Linked DNA regions of Struthio camelus. The protein of the gene in region 3 binds, or shares a complex with, the protein of the main gene of each other region. Links are inferred from orthologs where the notes say so. Each region holds a gene or a part of one and is shown on either strand. Other genes may lie near its edges. The genes, in order: SORT1, NTSR1 and NTS.

What was found.
Region 1: the proteins of NTS (region 3) and SORT1 are in contact, whole or in part, in a crystal structure (PDB 4PO7), measured with the Homo sapiens proteins. The link is inferred for Struthio camelus from reciprocal best matches to the Homo sapiens genes NTS and SORT1. Residues at the interface, in NP_006174.1 of Homo sapiens: Leu152, Tyr153, Glu154, Asn155, Pro160, Tyr161, Ile162, Leu163; in NP_002950.3 of Homo sapiens: Val112, Ser113, Leu114, Ser115, Trp116, Lys260, Tyr304, Ser305, Phe306, Gly307, Leu308, Phe314, Ser316, Arg325, Ile327, Phe350, Tyr351, Ser352, Ile353, Tyr395, Gly399, Thr570, Gly571, Leu572, Ala573, Trp586, Trp597.
Region 2: the proteins of NTS (region 3) and NTSR1 are in contact, whole or in part, in a crystal structure (PDB 4BUO), measured with the Rattus norvegicus proteins. The link is inferred for Struthio camelus from reciprocal best matches to the Homo sapiens genes NTS and NTSR1. Residues at the interface, in NP_001095851.1 of Rattus norvegicus: Arg157, Arg158, Pro159, Tyr160, Ile161, Leu162; in NP_001102437.1 of Rattus norvegicus: Ser53, Asp54, Leu55, Asp56, Asn58, Phe128, His132, His133, Tyr146, Met208, Val224, Cys225, Thr226, Pro227, Ile238, Arg327, Arg328, Phe331, Cys332, Tyr333, Ile334, Ser335, Asp336, Trp339, Phe344, Tyr347, His348, Tyr351.

Annotation. Positions count from the first base shown.
Region 1 is NC_090965.1:4,135,310-4,142,904, forward strand, and holds the start of SORT1 (sortilin), read right to left. Parts: upstream 3,024-7,595; coding exon 2,805-3,023; intron 1-2,804. Other genes in the region: PSMA5 (proteasome subunit alpha type-5), read right to left, coding at 6,948-7,025.
Region 2 is NC_090959.1:16,008,718-16,016,622, reverse strand, and holds the start of NTSR1 (neurotensin receptor type 1), read right to left. Parts: upstream 3,006-7,905; 5' UTR 2,757-3,005; coding exon 2,064-2,756; intron 1-2,063. UniProt on the Homo sapiens protein: G-protein coupled receptor for the tridecapeptide neurotensin (NTS). Signaling is effected via G proteins that activate a phosphatidylinositol-calcium second messenger system.
Region 3 is NC_090942.1:48,243,427-48,250,389, reverse strand, and holds the start of NTS (neurotensin/neuromedin N), read right to left. Parts: upstream 3,019-6,963; 5' UTR 2,763-3,018; coding exon 2,702-2,762; intron 1-2,701. UniProt on the Homo sapiens protein: Neurotensin may play an endocrine or paracrine role in the regulation of fat metabolism. It causes contraction of smooth muscle.

The DNA.
Region 1 (7,595 bases), on a different chromosome or scaffold from region 3:
TGCAAGGAGGGGCCTTCCCTCCTCCTGCTTCGCGGTAGGGGGAAACTGAGGCAGCAGCTAAGCGACTTCCCTCGGTGCCCTCGCAAGGACAGAGGCGCCTCGAAACGCTGCCGCTCGAGCCAAGGCGCCCGGCTTGTTCCCAGTCCCGGCAGCTCCGCGCGCACGGCTCGGCGGCTTCGGGACGCCTCTCCCAGCGGGAACCGGGGTAAGGGACGAGCAGGGGCCGGCGCAGCCCCGGCGGCTGGGGAAGGAGGGTGCTGCGAGCCCCGCGCTCGCCCACGTTAGCTCAGGCCTGCGGAGCCGCCGGAGGAAGGAAAGGAGGAAAACGGAGAGGCCAAGCGCCGCACAAGAGGCCGCCCGATCTCGCTCCCTGCCAGGCGGCCCAGGGGCCCGTAAGGGAGCACAAGCCGCGGCTCCTTCGCCCTGCTCTCCAGCAGGCACCGGCGCCGCAGGGACAAAACCCGGCCGGTCGCAGCGAACAAACGGGCGCATTCTTCTCCCCGCTGAGACGCCGCGTTATTACCCACCGTGGACTTTCGACACAGCCTGTTTCTCCAAGACACTACGTGTCTTTTGCAGAAGCTGCGGGCGAGCGGCTGGCTCGCGGGTTAAGGGAAAGGACGAGGAGTCAGGCCAGCCTGGCCCCCTTCCCAGCCCGGCTGGGAGCAGCACTCGCGCTCGGGCTGAGCTTCGCCTCTGCGGGACGGGGCTGCCCGGGTGGCAAGGCTGCCGAGCGCCTCCGCGGCGGCGAAGGAAATCTCCCGGAGAGGCCTGGAAGAGCAGGACGGGGCAGGGAGGTTGCCAAAACAGCACCGGCCAAGCTAAACACTCGCGTGTAATCAAGCAGCCGGATCCCAGCTTTCGGCCCAGCTCAAAGCAGAGCGTCGGCCGGTAGAGCCGGGCTCCAAACCCACTTCCAACCGCCAATTAGCAACCGGCCGGGCCGGCAGAGCGGGTGCAGCCGGCGGCTGAGAGGGCAGCGGCTACAGTCGCGCGGCGCGGAGCGAGCCTGCCAGATCTCGACCCGCAGCAACGCGCGCCCGCCTCTTCCCGAGTCTGCAGACGCGGCACCTCCGGTGCAACGCAGCGACGGCGTCGGCTTAGGCAGCTCTTTGCCCCGACGGGCCCTGGCTCGGGGCTGCCCCGGCCGCTGCCCGGCCCCAAGCCCGGCACAAGCAGTCCTGCGCGGCGGCCGAGCCAAGGGGCGCTGCCAGCCAAGGGCAGCCCGTACCCGCGGCATCCTCGGCACGGTTAATGTTCAACCCGGACGCTGGCACGCGGGCAAGCCGGAGCTGCCCGCGTGGATGAGTAACACCGAGCGATCGGCAAGGGCTGAGCAGCCACGGGGCCAAACGCCGGGGACGGGCTCCTCTCTCTGCCAGCACCGGGGGCATTTCCCGGCGCCGCGGAGGAGCAGAGGAAGGACCGAAGCGGTTCTCCCGCGGGTTTTAAGGTCATCTTTGCCAGCGGGAAATAAACCGGGCAGATTAGATTTTAGGTCGGCCAAATCTGGCGACATCGCTTAATCTCTCGCCCTCGCCACTCCCAAGGGCGGCGGGGAGGCGGGGGGCGAGCGCCCCGAGCCCGCCGAGCGGGGACAGGGACGGGAACCGCTCCGTCACCCGCTTGGCAGGAAGGAGCTGCCGGTCTGTCTGTCTGTCCCCTACCTCTCCGCCGGCGCCCACGCGGCAGGGAGCTGTCAGTCTGTCCGTCCCCGCAGCGGGAGGGCAGGACGGGACCGCAGGGCGGCTGCGATCCCGGTGGGACCTCCCTCCCGGCATGCGGTGGGGGGTCAGTCTGTCTGTCTGTCCTGTCCCTGCCCAGGGCGAAGGGAGAGGGAGAGCCTCAGGCTGGCTGGTTGTCGTCCTGCCCATCAGTCAGCCTGTCCGTCCGTCCGTCCAGGCAGCGGGCGCTCGCGCTGGGGGTCTGTCCACGGGAGGTGCCTCACCACCGGCCCGCTGCCAGTACCCGCCGGAGGGTGGGCGGGCGGCTGTCTGTCCTGGCGTTGCAGGGGTGCCTCTCCACAGGTCCCCTGCCTGTCCGTCTGTCTGGCTAGCTAGCTGTCCCCTCGTCTGCCCCCATCAGTGCAACGGGGGGGGGGTCTGGGTGTCCGTCCTGGAGCACGCGCCGGTCAACCTCTGTCAGTCCGCCCTGCCCTGCCCCAGCACGGACAGGGTGACGGCGCGTCCGTCTGTCTGTCTGCCCCGGTGGGTGCGGAAGGAGGATGGGATGTCTGTCCCTCTGTCCTGCTGCTGCTGGGGATCGCCTGTCTGTGCCAGGGACTACAGGGGCCGCCTGCCTGTCCGTCTGTCCACGCCTCCCCAGGGAACCTGCCTGCCTGTCCGTCTGTCTGTCCATGCCTCCCCAACAGACCTGCCTGTCCGTCTGTCTGTCCACGCTCCCCGACGGACCTGCCTGTCCGTCTGTCTGCCCATGTCCCCTAGGGGCTGCGGGGGGGGGGGGGGGGGGACTAGGAGGGAGGGACCGCCTGTCTGTCTGTCTGTCCGTCCGTCCTGGGAGCCGGGGGGGAAGGGGTCTGTCTGTCCCTCCCCACAGCTGCGCAGACAGCCTCTGTCTGTCCGTCCGTCCCTCCCGAGACCTGTTAGCGCAGCGAGGCCTGTCTGTCCCGGTACCTGCCCGGCCGGGGGGGGGGGGGGGGAAGCTGCCGGGGGCGGGGGGCTGCCGGGGGGGGGGGTCTGACCCTGCCGGTGCCTTTCCGGGACGGGGCGGGGGGCTGCCGGGGGGGGGGGGTCTGTCCCTGCCGGGGGGTCCCGCCCGCCCCGCTCCCGGCCCCGCCCGCTCACCTGGTGCGTGTTGTTGCCGAGGGCGGCCGGGACGCCGCGCAGGCCGCCGCAGGCCTCGCCGCCCGCCGCCGCCGCCAGGCCGAGGCCGCCGCCGCCGCCGCCGATGGCGCGGGGGGGGCGCGGGGGGGCGCGGGGCGGCGGCGCGAGGCGCAGCGCCAGCCCCAGCCCCAACGCCAGCGCCAGCCCCAGCGCGCGCGGCGCTGCCCCGCGCGGCCCCATGGCGACTCCGGCCGCCGCCCGCCGCCCCGCGCCGCCGCCCGCCCCCGCCGCGCCCCGTCCGCCCGCCCCCGCCGCCCCATTGGCGGCCCCCGCCCCGCGCCCCGCCCCCCGCGCCCCGCCCCCGCCCGCTTCGCCGCCGCGGTTGGCCGCGGCCGCCGTCGCTCCCTGCCATGGCAACCGGGCGGCCCGCCTCCCCGGCGGCCCCGCCCCGCCCCCGCCTCCTGATTTGCCTCTTCGCTTGCCAATCACCGCCGAGCCACCTCTCTCCTCCTTCCGTGACTGGCTAGCTCCCCACCGTACCCCTTGCGCGACTGCCCGCTGCCCCCGCCTCCCTTCCCCACCCCGCATTCTAGTCCACCTAGACACAGCCCTCTGATTGGCGGCGACCGGGGCCGCGGAGCGATTTTCTGATTGGCCGAGGTGGCGGGGCACCCTGAGAAGGCCCGCCCCCTCGCCCATTCACAAAGTGGGGGCCGGCCCACGTGGGCGGAGCGGTTGGGGGGGGGGGGGGTGCGAGGAGCCCAGGCGTCCGGCGGGCAGACCACCCCCCCCCCCCAAAAAAAAAAAAAACGGGCCTGGCAGGGAGAGCAGGGACCCCCTGCTCCCAGAGACACCCAGGCCCCGGAGAAGCCGCCCAGTAATGGGGGGGGACCCTGGCAAGGCAGCCCCGCACAGGGATGCTCAGGCCGGGCTTCACCCGTCCCGGTTTGGGGCCCGGTTCACGGCTCTGGGGGCCACGCAGAAACAACCGGCGGCCCCAGCGCGAGGGGCTCGCGGGAGCTCGCTCGACGCCACCAGGAAACGGGGGGCCGGAGGGCGTGCGGCGCTGAGCCGGCGGGAGGAGCGAGAAAGACAAACCCGGCGAGAGGAGAAAAGCGCGGAGAGAGGTCGCGGCCTGCGGAGGGGCCGGACGCGCAGCCGGCTGCGAGGGGCGCTTCCACGAGCGGGTTTAGCGGAGGGCAGCGACCCTCTCCTCCCGCCCCGGCTCGGCTGGCTGCGCGCTAGGGCCCGGTAAGGCTTCGCCTGGCACCAGCAAGCCGACGCCGGCGCCTTCCAGGTTGCGGCCGCTGCCCTGGCGCTGACGGCGCCCGCCGCCGGGGAGAGGGCCGCTCGCCGCACCGCGGGCGGAAAGCGGCTTCCCAATAAATTAAGCGACGGATCCCTTGGCGGGAGCCCGGGAAAGGAGGCGGCTTTGGATATCTGGCCGCGATCCCGCGTGAAAGGTTCATCCTCCCGTCAAGGGTAAGCCGGGCTGTGCAAGCGAGGAGGACGCTGGGGAAGCGGGCGAGGAACCCTCTTCCCTGACGCCTGCTCTCTCGGGCCGCGCAGACAGCGCTTGAGCCTCCTGCCACACCTAAGGCCGCACAAAGTTGAGATCAAAACGCACTTGGGAAAGTTCCTGACTTCTTTGCTACTCGCCCTCCAGGCCTTCATCCTTCCTCATTTGCAAAAAGAGGGTTTTCTTCTTACTGCTGTGTCATTCTTTTACTTTTTTTTTTTTTTTTTGCCCTGAAAAGGGAAAATCTGTGAGCTTGATGCATGAAAGACCTAAGGGAAGACACCTTTGTGACAAGCTGCCTGGGTGGCATCGTTCAACCGATAAAGAGAGCGGAGGCAGGTATCAACCACCCGCACGGGAGGTGCGTGCGCCCAGCTCTGTTACGCTCAGATCCTCTCTTGCGTTCGGACTGCCTGCAAAGAGCTCCGGCTTTTTTCCTTTCCCTCAATGGAGCCAAGACGGATCAGATATAAGGAACACAAAGCCTTGATTTTTCAGAGGAACCAGCTACCATGTGATGCTGCCACCAGCAAACCATGTGATTAGGGAAAGACATAAAGGACTATTTTCTGCTGGAGTGCCATGCTGGGAAGAATTAGCTTTTTGTGTTTTCTAGGACAGAAACAAGCCTAGAAAGAGCACTACCTCCGGGAACAGCAGGTTTCTTCATGTGCCAGGGTTTGCAGAACAGCTGGAAACGCTCCTCGGCTTCCCTTCCAAAGGAGAAGCAAGAGAACATGACCTAGCTTTGAGTGAATGTAAAGGCTTAAAATACTAAAGATAAAGGGTACTTATTTCTTCCACATACACAGTAGCTGGTACCAGTGTGAGCTGCATTTACTGGATGAGTTTATTAGGGCAACACATGGAGCAGCAGCCCCAATACCATCTCTGGCATGCCAAACATTCAAGGTAAGTGACCTCCACCCTGGACTTTCCCTCCTCACTTCCCAAGTTCATCTAGGGATGAAGAGTAGCATAGAGAGACCAGGGGCAGTGGTTCAAAGGCCATGCAAGCGGAGTGAAAGTTGAAGGACTTGTTTTCCCACATTAAGGCTACAAAGAAGTCTCCCTGAAGGGCAAAGTCCACCAGCCACTTGTTTATTCTTCCACCTGCAGATATAGATGCTGTCTTCAACTAGTATCACAAGACCTCAGGCATCACCTGGCTCTCCAGCTTGTTTCATTTGAACTCGTACCAACGAGGGGGGAAAAAACCTCACAGCAGAAACTCGTAGGAGCAAAGGCTTCTGCTATTCTGAAAATAGATGTTGTCTAAGGACAGATCTTCCAGCCATGTAGATCTGGTTGCCTTTCCAGCATCTGAAGGCATTCAGCAACAGCAAGAGAAGAAAAAAAAACTAACAGGATCGGCGTTTTCCATCCTGCGAAATGGCCGCGAGATCAGTCGTGTCAGTTTGCTGCAACTGTTTGGCAAAGCCAAACAGCAGTGAAATGTCTGCTGGAGGTCGGCAGTCAATCCCGACCTCTGAATTGAGGGGAAAGTTAGTCATTTCAGTCAAATGTAATGCTGGAAGCATCCCCACTTATCAGGCGATCCCCACTCCCAGCAGCAGCACGGGATCTGCTTCTTTCACAGAAGTCAGCGCTGTTTTGTTCAGGATGAAATTTTACCTTCTCCAAATAGGGAAGAGAGCGGAGCAGCCTCGGGGAGACACAGCCTCTGCTGCCTACAAAGCCACAGAACTGCATAGTCAACGTGTTACCAGGAGCCTCCTAACAGCAGAGCTGGTTTTCCAGTCTCAGAAGCTGCACTGGCCACGCAGTCTTGATTTCGCAGGAAAGTACTTTGCTAAACTCTGCTTAGGCCAGACTATTTTCATCTCAGTAGCAATCTTTAATACTCAGATGCTATTTCAAGGACAAAGAGGTGCCTGCAGGGGGTAACTAGAAACAAAAGCCCCATTAAGTAGATGAGCAAAAGTTCGCTGGTCAGAATGAAAATACTCTCAAAATTCAGTGACACCTGCCCAGGTCAACGAGTAAGGGGTTGTCCTCTTAACCTCAGAGCTATTCCACGCTTGGGGAACTCTGCTGTATCACATAGTCATTGCATGTACTTCCAAACTCCCATTCAGAAGGGAGCACAAACACCAAGCCTGCTTTGGGTATGAGCAGACCTAAAAAGCCCATGTAAAATTATACATGGGAGGTCCTGATGTGATATAGCCTCATTCTCCACGAGAGGGAGACTTGCTACTGGCATAACCAGCAAGGGCTCCTGGAGCAGCCGCCGCGTCTGGAAGGCGGTTAGGAACAGCGCCGTCCAGAGAGCGATTCCCAGAGAACTCTGCAAGCCCGGCACGCGCTGCTTCGCCCTGCAGCGATGTCAACAGCAGATGTTGTCCTCACCTGCTCCTGGGTTTTGCTCTAAACGGTCGAGCACTTCCCCACCTCAGACCTCCATCCATTATGAGGAACCCAAGATAGAGTAACAAAATGATTTATTGTCATTTCCTCTTATTGTAGAGATCAGTTATGTACAGAAACTGTAAAAAAACCTTAAGAGCCTTCTAAGAAGAGCAAGTACAGATGCTGCTGGAAATAAAATCACAGGTACTGGAAGGAACCGAGAGTCAGTTCACTTTGATTGGGGAATGAGCCTTTGAGGGGGTCTCTCTTTTTCAAATATCCTTGATGACCTCTTCAAGCTCCTCTTTCGTATACATGTGGAACTTCATTCCCGGCTCCACTGTGGCAAGCTGAAAGAGAAAGAGCAAGGGGTTAAGCGTGCCTGCATATGTGAAGTGACAGCATGGGGCAGGGAACAGAGAGAAGCCACAGCAGACAGCAGCTGTTCCTTCTCAGCTGCTTGATCTGCCAGCCCAGCAAGATCATTCCACCCTGTAACATGCTCTTTGATTCCCCAAAATAGCTGGCTGCCACAGAAATAGCTTTTAATTGACTCAATCTCCTCATAGTAGCAGCAGCCGGGAACGTCTGTTGGGCTCAGGCTCCGCTTCTGCTTGCTGCGGGGAGAGACCCTGTTAATACTAGCTCTTCATCAAACACCTCTTGGAAGAGCGGTTCCTCTTGCTGCAGTTCAGGGTGGCCCCGCGCCTGCAGTGCTTGGTAGAAATATCTCTTTGCTCAGATTCAGGAGGCAACACTGAGGAGCCAGAAGGACCACTTCTCCTCCAGTAATGAAGGGTACAAGTCCTGGCCTGTTACACGCTTTAAGAGAACAAAGCAAAATACTCAAAAGGGGACTGTGGATTAGCTTTGGGAAACTGAGGCAGGGACAAAAAAAAATGCATGTGGCCATTTTGATC
Region 2 (7,905 bases), on a different chromosome or scaffold from region 3:
GACCTTTGTGCATCAGGCTGTCCCGCATTACCACTGCCCTTTCTTTCTCTCCTGGATCTTCCATTATTTCTTTTTTTTTTTTTAAAAGCTCTGAACAGCCTAGTTCTAACAACGTGCAAGTGCCCGATCACACACTGTGCAACACTTTCCATTAATGCACTTCAAACCTGACCTGCAGCTGCTTTGCTTATTCACTCTGGAGCTTCTCCTGGTCCAGGGACCTGCTTCACATTACGTGCTGCTTCAGCGTGCGCAAAAGAGGAGTGATCCGGGGCCATTAAACCAGCTGCCCATGTTAGCAAATCGACATTTGGGGCTAGGTCCCCCCAGAAGGAAAGGTATGGTGTTTTTTTCAGCAGCTGCCAAGGCCCCTTTTTTAGCTGTGAAGTTCCTCCTTTTTTTTACTTGCAAATTAATTCGCAAGTGGAATAAAAAAAGAAAGAACAAAAAGCCCAACAGCATTGAAGGTAAAGCACGTGAGAACGTCACATGCTATGCTTTAATGTCTGTCTGCTTACTTGGATAACAGGATAAGGTATATACGGAATAATAGTGATACTGTGAAATATGCTCAGAATTGTTTAAACCGTAATCTCAGAAGATGTGACTGGGAAATAATCCTATCTCTTTAGCCCTATCATATTAATACTGAGCACCAGTTTAATCCTAAAAGGAAGATGGCTGGAAATAATACATTTCAGCCACATTGTTCTCAAATTGGATAGCTCAGGTCTCTGTAGAGAGTAGAGAATTTGGGTTAAGTACACTGGGCTGGCACCGACAAAATCTACAAAGCACTTACAGGAAAAATAGAGCCTCATTGGTATCAAGACAAAAATCAGAGCTGTTTTTCAGTGCTTCTGTGGGGGCTCGACTTTGGTTTGCTGGAGCGATATACCTGAAACTTGGACAGAGATGTCTAAACATCTAAAGGCTCTGATTTTAAATCTAACTGCATTTACCTTTGTCCACTTTCACTAGAAGAAATGGTTCTGATTTGCCTCCATTTAAGTTCCTCCCCCTAACCGTGGGCACATTTCAAAGGATTTAGTACGCATGCAGCTTTAAATTCTAACCGGCTGGTGATTAAAACCACCTAAAATTCATGTTCAAAATAAAAGATTGAAAAGCCCTTGCGTGTGAGCCTGGCGGCAAAGGAGCTGTGCACATTCGCGCCTTGCTCTTTCCAGCTCTCCTCCCAGCTCTCTTACATTTTTCAAGCCTGATGCTCCAGTAAACAAATACCCAAGACCCCCTGAGCCCTGCGCAGTGGTGATGGTGCCGATGCTGAAATCCAAAATCCCTTCCACGCGTGGGACTATGGGATCAGCTGTTGCGTGGAGACCCCCAAAGCCTTTCTGGGGGGCTGCTAGTTATAGCACATCTCCCCCAAGCAACAAAAATACCAGCTCTTGGCTTTGGAGGTGCCATTCCTTTGGGATGCCTGCGCTGCAGCCTGTGCCTCAAACTTTCTGGAATTAGGATCTGTTACTACACAGAGGAAATGGGCTATGAATCAACTAAAGAAACTGGGAGAGGGGGAGTGAGGGTTTTGTTTTCCCTGCTCGTGCTGGCCCCTTCTCCAGCAAGAGGAAAGGAGATAAAAATGCAGAGAAAGGGCGGAGATTTGTGGGCTTTCTGGCGATGAACTGCTACTTTTGGGGAGAACCCGAGCACCCCCGGGGCAGCCGGGGCCGCCAAGGGAGCCCCAGCCCCAGGGCAGAGCCGGGGTCCCGGTGCTCGGGGTCTGCATTAAGGGGGGCTCCCGGCCCGAGACAGCTTTAGACCCCAGCCCAGCCCGGGGAGCAGAGGCGCTGCGGAGGGTCTGCAGCCGGGTTCAGCCTGGTGCAGGCTCCCAGCCCGGCGCCTGGCAGAGGGGGCAGGTCGGGCACGGAGCCGAGCCCCCGTGGACCCCGCTGCCGCCAGTGCCGCCTGGCCGCCCCGTTGGGGCTGCCAGGACCCCCCCGTCACTACCCCCTCCCCCCAGCCCCGGTTCCCCCACCCGGCCCGAGCAGGCGCTGCAAAGTTTGCAGCTCCCCGCGCCCGATCGCCTGGATCCTCACCTGGATGACCGTCTTCAGCGTGGAGGCGTCCACGATGGTGGTGCAGATGAGGGAGTCAGGCTTCTGGTCCTTGCCGTAGATTTCCCCCATGGTGAAGATCATGGGGATGGCGAGGAGGAAGGAGGCGATCCAGATGCAGCTGATGAACTTCTTGGTGCGGCTGCGGGACATGATGCTCTTGGCTTTGAAGGGGTGGCAGATGGCCATGTAGCGCTCCACGCTCAGGCTGGCGATGTTGAGCGCCGTGGCGTAGGTGCAGGCATCCCGAAGGAAGTAGTAGCCCTTGCAGACGGCATTCCCGAAAGCCCAGGGGTGGTGGACCCAGATGAAGTTATAGAGCTCGATAGGCATGCAGAGGAGGAAGATGAGGAGATCGGAAAAGGCGAGGCTGGCCAGGTGGTAGTGCACGGTGCTCTGCAGGTTCTGCAGCGACTTCTTGCGCACCAGCGTGTACGCCGTGATGGAGTTGCCCACGGTGCCCACCAAGAAGAGAGCCAAGTAGATGACCGTCACCATGACTTTGGAGTAGATGTCGGTGTTGACGTCCAGGTCCTCCTCATCGGGCCCTTTGGGGAGCAGGTCGGAGCGGTTGGAGGCGTTGCCGGCCGGTAGGGCATAGCCCGTGGGGTGCAGGCGGAGGGGGCCGCCCGGCGCTGCCCCCGGCACGGCCGGGGCCGTGGCGTTCAGGTGCATCCCCCTGCCCGAGCCTCAGCCCCAGCCCCGAGCCCAGCCCGAGCCCGAGCCCGAGCCCGCCCGGCGCTGCCCAGAGCCCGGCGCCGGGCTGGGTCCGCGGCTGCGCCCCGAGGTGCCACTAACCCCCGACGTGGAAACTTGGCTCGCTTTAATGCGTCGGGGAGGAGGCGCCTGCAGCTCCCGGGCTGCCTCTGTGTGTGCGTGTGTGTGTGTGTGTGTGTGTGTGTGTGAGAGAGAGAGAGAGCCGCGCACACACACACACACGCACACGCACACGCACACGCACACACACACACACGCACACGCACACGCACACGCCGGAGCAGCCTCGCAGCGCTGTCAGCTGCGATCAGCCGGCAGCTCCGGCGCTCTCCTCCCTGCAGCTGCCCACATGTGCCCCGGCCGGGCAGGAGCCTCCCTGCACGCACACACACACACACACACACACACACACACACACACACACATGCACACTCACACACACACGCACAAACACACACGCACAAACACCCACACCCGGGAGGCGCCGCGCCGCCCCCCCCACCCCCCCCGGGGCTTTCCCGGCGCTGGGAGGGCGCTTCCCGGGGGAGCCCGCAGAGCCCTCGGGGGTAGACCCCCCCCAGGGACCCCCCTTCCCTCGTCTCCACCCCGAGCAAATGCAGGCAGAACACGGGGCTCCCCCGGCCGGGAGCTGGAGGGGGGACCCAGCCCTGCCACCCCCACCCTGGGCAGAGGGGAGGCACCAGGGATGCTCCATCACCCCTGGGCATCACCGCAGCCCCCAAACACCCGTCCTGTTGCTGCTGCTGCTGCTGCTGCAAGGAGAAATGCATTTAAAGGAGGGGAACAGCCGCCTAAAAAGAGCTGCTTCTGCCCTAATCTGCCTGATGCCCCCTCAGCCCAATGGCACAGTAGTGACAGCAGTGAGCTGCTTCACTTTGGTCCCCGTTAGCAGCTTTTCCCCCATCCTAAACCCTCGAATTTGGGCATTTAAGGTCCTCTCTAAGCAGCCCAGTTGCAGGCACAAGCGTGTAGAGAGGGGCTGAGCAGGGACGAGGGGTGCCGTGGCCATGCCGAGGGCAACAAGGGGGTGCCTGACAGGGAGAGGCACTCAAAGTCTACAGAGGGAATACTTCCTTTCAGGCCAGGGACACTGCACCAGCTGCCTTGCAAAACTCATTAGCTGGTTATTCATTCAGTTGTCTTTTTGATAAGGGTCTTTAGAAGTGCATAGAAGAGATCTGGAAAAATCACTTCCAAGGAATCATTGATTTGGCCAAAGAGAGCCATAACTGTTCAGTTTATTCATTAGCAAACACTGGTATTTGGTTCCCTCAGTCCGTGGGCCCACTGAGTGTGCTGATGTCCTACAGACCATCTAGCTATTTGATGCAAGAACATATCTAGTCCTGCAGTCAATCACATCATCAGTGCTCGCAGACTGTGAACTTTCCACAGCTGTCCGCCAAGAGTCAACACGTCCCCAAACTTTCCTCCTATTAGCTTTAGCAGATAGGATCTCCACGGAAGGCTAAACAAAATCAGATTTATTTAATCATACTCAGTAATACAAATATGGAGAGAAATATTTTCTATCACTCATCCCACACTAGTTTAAAGAATGACTAATAATCTCTTAGCACCAATGTTCCTTTCATTTAAAAGGTTCAGTTATGAAATTTCCATTACTGGAGATTGGTTCGTCACGGCTGGTGTTCCCAGCTGGTCTCACCAGTTGTTTCTGTTTCTTGGATGGGTTCTCAAGATGAATCAAGAATATTCATGCTGAGGAAGGAAAGTGGGACATGAAGCAAGTGACCGGTCATGCTGATTGACCGATGTCCAAAGGAGCCAACCACGACTGAGAAGCATGTTCTTCTCCATTGGTATCCTCAGAAACAAGATGCCTATCTGCTGGTCTAATTTTAAATTATATGTATATGTATGTTTATATCAACAGCTGTCTCTAAAAATACCCTGTTCTGGACTCTGTTGCCTCACGTTTCTGCGCACAGACAATGCAAACAAGACTGATTACAAGGGAAATATTACATCTCCAGCTCTGTCCTAGCAGCTGCTCCCAAGTGCTCAACGCATCGCCTCCTCCATGTTCCCTCCGAGCTGAATATTGGCAGGCAATATCAACAGATATAGTCAAAAAAATAACATTAATTACACACTGAAATATCAGCTACCTGTAACGAATGTGACTCTTGATTTAAAATCGACACTTTAACAGGCCAGTACAGCCAGTATTTGTTGCAAGATATCTCCTTTTGTAAAGTGCATTGGAAGAATACATATCCGTAATGAAAAGGCTGGGTGCTCTGATCACTAAATGCTTCAGCAGGATGTTTCTATGAGTTAATTAATTTATTATATTCCATTAATTGCTTGGCAAGCCTGTTTCAGCTGCAACTGAAGCACTTTTACTAGCAGGGGCAGTTTTTTTTTCTCATCGATCTGAGTTTATCCCATGGCCTGGGATAAAATCACCTCATTCAGAAGATCCCAAGAGTGGTCTCACAGCTGCTGTGTGTGCCTCATGGTTAAATGAGTGTCCCTGTCTTCTAGCATAAGTCGATGCCTGGAAGGAAGGACGTGAGGCTTATCCAACTCTTCTTTGGGTGTCCCTGGCAGATGAGGCTACATACAAAGGCTACCAAGACACTGCTCCTCTCCCACCCACACCCATTCAGCCTGCACTTCTCTGCCAAAGGCCATCCCTGAGCCTGGGCACATGACTAGATCATGATGCGACTCTCAAAAGTACATCGGTGTCCATGAATTTGTCCCAGTTTACCCCAGTCAGGGATATGTTTGCCAGCTTTCCAGAGCCTGTCTCCTGAGATGCAGCATTGACACTGCTCCCGCTCAACAAAGTGCCCTCCGCTCATGCCCAGCCACATTCTGTGGGGTTACACCTTGAGCTTCTTCTGGTTCTTTGTATATCCAGAGCAGTGTATCAAGACAGAATTACTATAACAAAGCCATGATTAACACCCCACAAAGGCATAAAAAGAAGCCAAATCCTAAGCATCAGAAGGGGACCTACCTTGCAGGAAGCTAAAGGAGGAGAAGAATAACCTGGGATGAAGATGCCAGCCCTGGGCAGACCCACAGAAGTAATGTGTGTTCTTGTCCTGTTTAACAATTCTTCATAAGAAAACTCCTGAAATCTTCCAGAGGATGCTCCTTAGTCCCGCAGGATATTATCACCAGCATTTCTTGGCTATAACAAGTGAGCAGCGAGAGCAATACCAGACTTGAAGCTGTCTTGGACCTTTTAAAACATAAGCTTCATGTCAGGATGGCCTTGCTGCTTTAAAAGGCGAACAAAACCATACGAAAAAATATAATAGGAATCTTGTTGCCCTGCTAATGGGTTTAAAACCTAGCTTATTTCAGTCATATTCAGAGCGAAAGTGTGGATCACTTCATGCAAAGAGGAAAATAAAAGTAAGTCTTGTCCTTCTCTTGACAGAAAGGGCTCAACCTCTCCTCTCTGTTTTTAGAAAGCTTTTTGTCTGGACAGGTTCTACCTTTTGTCCTCACCTCCTTATGGAGCAGGACACCTACTGCTGCTGCAAGGGGGACACCGACCACGTTCCTGCCATGCTGCGTAGGACGTGCCCAGCACGACTATTAGCCTCTCCATTGCTAATCGATGGCTTGAGGGATGTGCGAAGTGGTATATGGGATTGTGAAATGAGCATCTCTTCCCTCTTGCACCCCTGATCCCTGCCAGGCTTTTCACCATGTTCCCTTCAAGTAGAAGCAGCAGTGGAGATGCCCCATTCATTTAGTGTGCACCAAAGCTTACAGCCTAAATCCCTGCTGTTTGTTTCCGAACAAGCCGACCTTTCTGCTAAGCTGGGCTCGTTTTAATATATTTTGTATGTGTGTGTCTGTGGCTTAAAAAGAAAAAAAGTCATGGAAACCAAGAGACGCCAGATCTCAAATGTTACAGCAAGGCATTTACTTAAAATCTTGGAGGAAAATGTCACCCAAAGACCTTGTCTATTAAAATTACCTGGACTTTGAGCAAAGGGTCCCACAGTGCCCAGGATGTGAGGCCCATAGGTTGCCTCGCTCCCTTTTATGTTGACCTAAGTGGTTTTCATCTTTGCTGTTTCCTGTTGCAACTGGGAACTGCTAGGAATTTTTCGTATTAACCTACTGCAGTCCGATTTCGCCAGATGGGATTTTTCTGAAGGACACAGAAAGCAGCAGACAGAAAGTTTTGCAAGAGACAGGTGCTAGGAGAAAGGTGTTAGCCTTGTTCCCTGCTGAGGACCCAGCACCCAATCCTAAAGACGGGGTTTAGAGCAGGGTCCTGAGTCAGGCAAGGCTGGGCTTATTCAAGCCTTTAAAAACAATTCACAGGGGGCTCAGCATAGAGGGGCTGTCCCTTCTTCAAACATCCCTAAAAGTCAGGAGCTTATGAAGTGGGTTTGGCACGTAAAATCCTGGGGGACATGAGGCTACTTTAGGGATGCTATACTTGCAAAAAAAAAAAAAAACAGTGAAGGATAAAGGGGTGGTAGAAATAGGGTCATATATCAGCTTTGTTGATGGCAATATTGACCGTGTCGTTACTTACCGGCATGGAAGTGCATCTTCCTCCTCTCCCCTCACTCCACATGTTGTAAAATAAAGTATTGCTTGTTTAGATGAAAAATAAAAGGTTCCTGATTGCTGTATACTGTTTACTGTGTTTGACTGAGCTGATTTAAGGAGAGTATTTAAATCAAACTGGTTGACACATGCAATATTTATTGCCTGTGATTTTCATAGCACGGAAACCTGCTGAGACTCCTTCAGTCTGAGCACGCCGCTATATGAGTGGCAAAGAGGAGAGACCAAACGCTGGTTTGGAAAGTAAATCGAGCAGCCCGACCTCCTTATCCCCACACACACACATGCAAACACCCCTACGCGTTCATGCACCGCGTGGAAGCATCCCACCTCTTTCCATATAGCTTTGGTGGCCGATAAGCAACCAGATGTTCACTGTGCTGTTCGGTGAAGGGCAAATAAGATGCATAGCACAGGCCTGTAAAAATTGCAGTCTGTGGGCCAAGGTTCTGCAAGATGTAAAATCAGTGAGCGCTCAGCAGGAATGAATTTGGCCCCTTCTGCCAACTGT
Region 3 (6,963 bases):
CTGCAAGGTTATGCCCAGAGCTATTAGACTCTATCTCTCACCTAGTCTCCTTTCATATAATAGACCACCTATTCCCCAAGTCCTCAGAACGGCCTTCCTGTGGGCCCGATGTAATATGAATAATTGTACAGTATACTCCGGATAAGAAATCTCATGACTTAACTACCTTAATCCTTAATGCTTACCACTAGCTACAGGAAATAGCTCTCTGGCACATTTTAGGATTTTGCTTGCCTTTTGTGGTTGAAAAACCTTCGTATCTCATAAGGCTGATGTCAGCTAGGATGACCAAGTCCTACATCTCCTCAAACACTCCCAGTCAGTGTGCTTCTGTTATAGATGGAGTTTTTAACAGACACTTCCATTATTTTCCAAGCTACCACACTTTGTACTGTTGCATTGCTTCCCCTTTTCATTACTGAAGTCATCAAAAACTTCTCTGTGTTACGACAATCTTCCTCTCTACTGATGCTCATGTTCATCTTTGTGTTACTAGAACACTACAATTGCTCGCTCTTACTTTTTGCATTGAGGTCACTATTGAAAATATTGAATACACCAGTATTACAGAAAGTCAGTAGTAACTTCTCTCTCGCTTAATGCTTTCCATTTCAGCACTACCTATTGACAATGCTACCTCATCTCTTAAACGCTTGACCACTAACAGAAGCTGTACACGTAGTGCCAGATCTGCTCAGCCTAATTTTTACCAGTGATAGCAGCAGCTCCTGGGAATAGGGGAGCAGCCCATGTGGGATGGCGTCCTGAGTTGTGGTGCATGTCCTGGGTCTTACGAGCTGGGGACAATGAAAGGACGCGCGTCCGGTTAGCATCCTGGTTTTGAAATGCCAGGGGGGATGGCAGAAGGCTGGGCAAGTGGAACGCTGCACTTTATAGTTAGGTATTAAGAAACGTTTTGATTAAGCAGTCTGGAGAACATTACTTAGGAGACTGTTCCAGACTCCTAGAGTGAAGAAGGAAGCAAAGCTTGGGTGCCTATTCAGAAGGCAGCACATGCAGAGATAAAAGAGGAATGAAAGAGGCAGAGGAGGTAAAAGCATTAACAAGAACAGACTCTCAGAAAGCACTGAATAGAACATCTGATTATATGTTATTATTCATATCGGCAGAAAATCCACACACTTTGCTGTCCTCTTAATCATTCACTACTTACTGACAAGAAATATTGCTTCTATTCACACATTTGCATTCTGCAAGAATAGCTAAATTCCACAAGAACACACTTTCCCCTGAGGGCAAACATTTTCAAAAGAAAATTAAACTGAATGATCATTTTCTTTACAACATAATTGTCCATATTAATTAAAACTGACTCAGCCCTTCCAATGGTATTTCTCATTTAAATATAATTTCAAATTTTCAAGCAAATGAAACATCATATCAATTAAATATACAATTTGGTTTCTTTTTTATGAGCTTATTTTAATTTCCACTTAAATCTTTGCCTTTAATGGGCTTTCAGTCAGGCTCTACAAACAGTAGAGTAGGATGCTCTTCTCTGAAAATATTAACCATGTCTTCACTTAAAAAAGCTTTACATATATGGGGAGGGAATGATAAATATTAAGCATTGCCACTAAGATTACGGGCTCTCTAAGACACACAGAATAATTATTTTTGAACTGTGATGAACATAAAATGCAAGTGTTGTGTGCTACCTTTTTCTTCTGCAGAAATGTTCATCTAAAAGGACAATTATGAACTCATGAATCCTCCTGAAGCTGCTTGTATATTTACTCTTCTAGATTTTGCGGAGTTAAAAATTAAAGTAATTCACAAGTTAGTAAGATTGGGTTTTGAAACCTATCTTTCAAAATCTATGTTTCTGACACCTGTTCTGTGTCTGTATACAAACGAACATGTTTAATTGCCACTAAACTGTCTTTTTTGTCATACACACATGCACACACACACACACACACACGAACACACACACAAACTTAGCTGTGTCGTTTTCCAAGGGCGCAAGCAATGCATTTTAATACATAGTCCTCTTTTTCAGGTTTCAAAAAAATATATTCTTCGAATAAAAATACACTTATATTGAAATTCCTATTGCATGATCTGCATCTGCTTCAGCATTTTTTGTCATCATTTCAGACCATAATTTTACAGTTGCTAGCAATTTTTTCCAGAATCCTAAACCGTACTTCAGGGTAACTAAAGGGGTCTGACGTAAAACCTGAAGTGCACATATAATCATGTTGATGTGTATTATGGCAGGTATTCTTAGGGGCTGTAGAAACTGTAATTTCTATGACAGTTTGGAAGTGGAAGGTGTTCAATAAATTACAGATGAGGTAGCAGCGTGTATAATTAAGTGGTCTATGCCGAGATACGTTTCTCTATGGCTAGTCTACAGTAACAAGCAAAGTATTGATGCCCTCTTCGATGCTGTCTGAAGGAATGGCCAATACGAAGGCAGAAACTTAGGGGAGCGGCAGAGGAAGGGATGCTGGCCGGACGGCTGTTACCAGCGGCGGCCCCTTGGCACCCGCTGGACGTAGCCGCGTTAGCCCCAGGTGAGCTCGGCTCGTCTCCAGCCCCGCTGCAGGGGCCGGCTGCGCCTCAGCTCCGACTGCGGAACTTGGGCCGAGAGAGTTGGGAGGAGAAGAGGCGAAAGCGGCGCTCGCCCAGCCGAGCTGCGCAGGTGCGGGACCCTCCCGGCGCGGGGTCTTACCTGAGCAGAGGCTGCAGGCGGCCAGGGCCAGCAGCGCCACGCACACCAGCTGGGCTCTCATCCTGCCGCGCCGCCGCTAGCAGGGCAAGCCCATAAATCCTAGGGAGAGACGGACAAGAGAGACACACAGAGAGACACACAGAGACCGCGCGGCAGCTCCGCTCCGCTCCGCTCCCTCCCGCGGGCGGCTGCCGGGACCATGCGGGGCGCCCGGACCCTTCCCCAACTATATAAGCCGCGGGGTGATGTCACGGCAGCGCTGCCAGCGCCTCCTGAGGAAGCGCCCTCCCTCCTCTTCCTCCTCCTCCTCCCCCCCCCCCCCCGCCGTCGCGGCCGGCCCCGCCGCCGCTCCGCGCCGAGGGGCGCTGACGCCATTCGCCGCCTGACGCACGCGGAGCCCCGCGGGGGTGCGCGGAGCACCGCGGCGGCGGCGGGGCGGGGGGGGGGGGGGGGGAGGAGGCGGAGGAAGCGCGCAGCGGCTCCGTCGCCCCGCACGCACCGCTGCCCTGCGCCGCCGGGGACGGGTCGTGCCGAAAGGCGCCGCTCCTCTGGCCCCGAAAAGCGTTATTTTATTTATTTATATATTTTAAAGTAGTTGCTGGAGCAGCCGGTGCGCGGTGAGGGGCGGGAAGCAGCGGTGGCGAAAGCGCGGGCAGTGCGCGCAGCGCCGAACCGCCGGTTCCGCCGTTGCTCGGGGAAGCGCGCAGCGAGCCAGGGCAGCGGGTGCGCGGGGTGAAGCGATGCCGCCGTGAGCGCGGAGAGGCGGAGGGGAGCAGCGCGGGAAAGCGCACGCCGTGCCCCAGCCCGCTGTTGTGTCGGCAGCCTGAGGGCTCCCACAGGGCCTTCTCGTAAAATTTACTTTTTTTCCAGTTGAATTTTCACAACACCGGTAGGGTTTTGTTTTGTTTGTTTGTTTGTTTATTTATTTATTTTTTCCCTCCGCAACTAATACGGACCTGACTTCGTGAACAGCACCCCGGGCTTCAGACACAGTGAAACGCGCCGGGGAGCCGGCAGCGCCCGCCGCGCTCCCCTCTCTTTGCTGCACGTCCTACCCTACAGGACAGCCAAAATCTGGTACGGGCTCTCCTGTATCCCAGTGCCTCAGACGTAAAAACGCAAAAAAATGATCCGAAGTAGCGGGTAGGGCAGGCTAATCTTTACTGTGTGAGGATGTAAGTGTAAAGCTGAAGGCTGGTGTCAGCCTCCATCACTATATTGCTTTTAGCGTGTTTTTTCTCAGATCCGGACAAATGCTCCATCTGTTGAATGCAGATATTACAATGTGGAACATTTTGATCTCTTGTGAATACATTTCAGGGCTGATGCACATGCCACATATAGCAGGAACACACTCGCTGACTAGTAGATTCTTCTGTCGTCTTCACTGCCGAAAGTTTCCTTTAAAAATCAAAGAGCAAATGTGAGTGATGGCAGCGATGAGTTCTGTTTTCCTCCTGTGTTCTCTCTGCCTGTATATGAAATACTGAAATAGATGCCACAGAAACAGAAAACACACAGTTTTCAAAATCCTGCCACAGGAAACACATAGTGAGAAGAGTTTAATTGACTGATGTCCTTCCACCTTGAATCATCTTTCGCAGCAGAACAAAATTTAGCTTTGGAAGTTCTTTTGTGTTATGCTTGAATAAATATAAGCAAGAACAAAGTTTAGTACAGGGCTGTGGTTTTAGATGTCTTGAGAACACAGATTTTTATATGCTATTGGGAATACAGCTTTCTGCTTTATTAAGCTGAGATTAAAAAAAAAAAAAATCACATTGTACAGGCTCTGCTAGTCTGCCAGAAAGTTTTAGCTATCTGCCTTAGCACGGAGGTTAGATTAGCTGGCTACTCACGCTCCCCTCTAGTCCTATTTTCTATTATTTCCATGATGTGGAAAGACCAATCTGCAGCTGATTTTGCTCTGTGGGTGTTCTGCAGTTCAGAAAGCTCTATGAATGAGAATCATATTTCATAGATATTTTCTAGTGCCTACTCTCTGTCACAGATTTCTTCAATAGTGTAATTGCCCATATTCTTATGTAACTGGAATTTATAGGACTGATAGGTTATTTTTTCCTCAGGAAGACAACAACTGTCAATTTCCCTGACATTAAAATCTGTGATCACCTAATTGTTTCTTTTTTTTTAAATTATTTTTATTTTTTTAATCCTAGGATTCCAATTATTAGTGATTCCAAGGGGATGAATGTATGGTATGTTATGACCTGTAATCTTTTTTATCATCGCTCTGTTTTTACCCTTTTCCTGGAAAATGACAGAGCAGAAACTTCAGTGCTCAGAATCTTCTTTGCTTTCTCATGATCTTGAAAGTTCTTGACATATTATCTTCAAGTGCCCTGGATCAGGCACGACTGAAGTCAGACCATCAAGCAATTACATCTTTTTCTCAATAGAACTGAACTATCTTCTATTCCTCAGTTACTCCTTTATTTATTTTTTCCAGCTCTTTCCTGCACTCGTGCTATCTTCTGCTGCCCCATTAACTTTTACGTAGTAGGAAATTTAACCATTTTTACAGTGCATTCCCCAAATCATCTTGACTTCCCCAAGTCATCTTCATATCACATTTTTCCTCATGAGAAGGGTTTATCTTGCAAAGGAGCATGCTCCAGGGATGATTTAATAAGAAAAAATATATATTTGCATCTCAGATCTCCTTCTTGTTGTGTTTCTGTTTTTGTTTTTGTTTTTCTTTCCTTTTTTTAGTATTTCTCAAGCTAGAGAAAACAGGCACAGTTCCTTGTTGGTGGCTGTCTGTGCGGGAATCTCAGCCTATCTTTATTTACCCTGAATGCATGACTTAAACAGCACACTTTAGCTCCATTCACAACTGTGAGGCATCTGAAGATAATGAAACAATCAGGACAAATGGCAGATCCATGAAAGAATAGATACATGGACCTCCATTTGCCTGGTCATTGGAACATAAAACTACCATCATAATGTAAGGATGACACCAAATGCAAAAGCTGTAATCACGAAACAGAAGGAAAAAAAAGCCATTTTACTAATTATCCTGCAGTAGCAAGTACTGGAGACTATATTTAATAAAGAACAGTTGATTCTCCAGTTGGCAAAGTATTATGGCTTGGGACCACAAATAAACACAGTGGGACTAAATGAAAGGCTCAAGCGGCTGAAGCTGCTGAAGTTTTGTCATTAAATATATTAATCTTGTCTGAGATTTTTCCATGAAATTATTTTGTAGCCAAATCTTGCTGCAGGTATAGAAGTTTGGCGCCTGGAAGAGGAATTGTCCTGGAAGAAGTCAGCAAGAAATTTTTTCAAAACACCAAACTGTGGCTCAAGATGCTGACTCACAATGTCACATTTGAATTTAGTTGTGGTGATTAAAGCTATTTTGTTCCTACACCAGCTTGACTATCAACAGTTTAGGTTAATAAAGAAGAAGAAAACTTTGGTGAGTCAAGTTCATTTCTGTCATGTCTGCTTGAGGGACGATAAGCTCCAGCAAAACAGCAGGACAGACGGGAAAGGGTATTCAAAACATATTTAAAGCATAAAGCATAGTCACACACTGCAGCTGAATTTCTAAGGCATTGCGAGTCCTCTGTGTCTCTTTCTCTGAGCTCAAAATATATAACTCAGGTTTTTGTTCTGTTTGGTCAGGACAGTGACTCTCATAGTGATGCTATGTTTACCTTCTGAAAATCCCAAGTCAGATCCTGGAGACCAGTTGTGCTGCAGGGGAGAACAGAAGCAGCTCAAAGGTAAGAGGAGCTGATCCTTAACATGCTGGGCCATTCCTAAGAAAAATGTTAGGCATGTGCTCTACTTCACATCTGATCTCCTTCAGTCACTCTGTGTCTTTCACTTTCTGAAATTTCCAGAATGTGTGCTCTTCAAGGAAACCCTAAGGAGGCAGCTGCATAATGTGCAAGAATTTTCTGTTTTAGAAAAAGCATCACCACATTAAGATCTGAATCAGTAATGTTTTTTAATATGCAGTGAATCTATCAAATATTGAGAAGAGCTGTGCATCAGCAGAAGCTTCTTGGACATCTAATGACTAAAGAGGTATTCCTTTGTGTTTTAAAGTTCGGGAGTCTGAAACTGTGAAACTGGCATTTTCTGTGTAGACTCTGCAGATGAGGACTACATGCTTGGCAAGGCTTCTTTCCTTGAAGCTTGGACACTTGAAATGGTAGTAACATCTTAATACCGCAGGGGATCATGATTCTCAAAGATTTTTAAGTGTCATCTCAACAGATTAA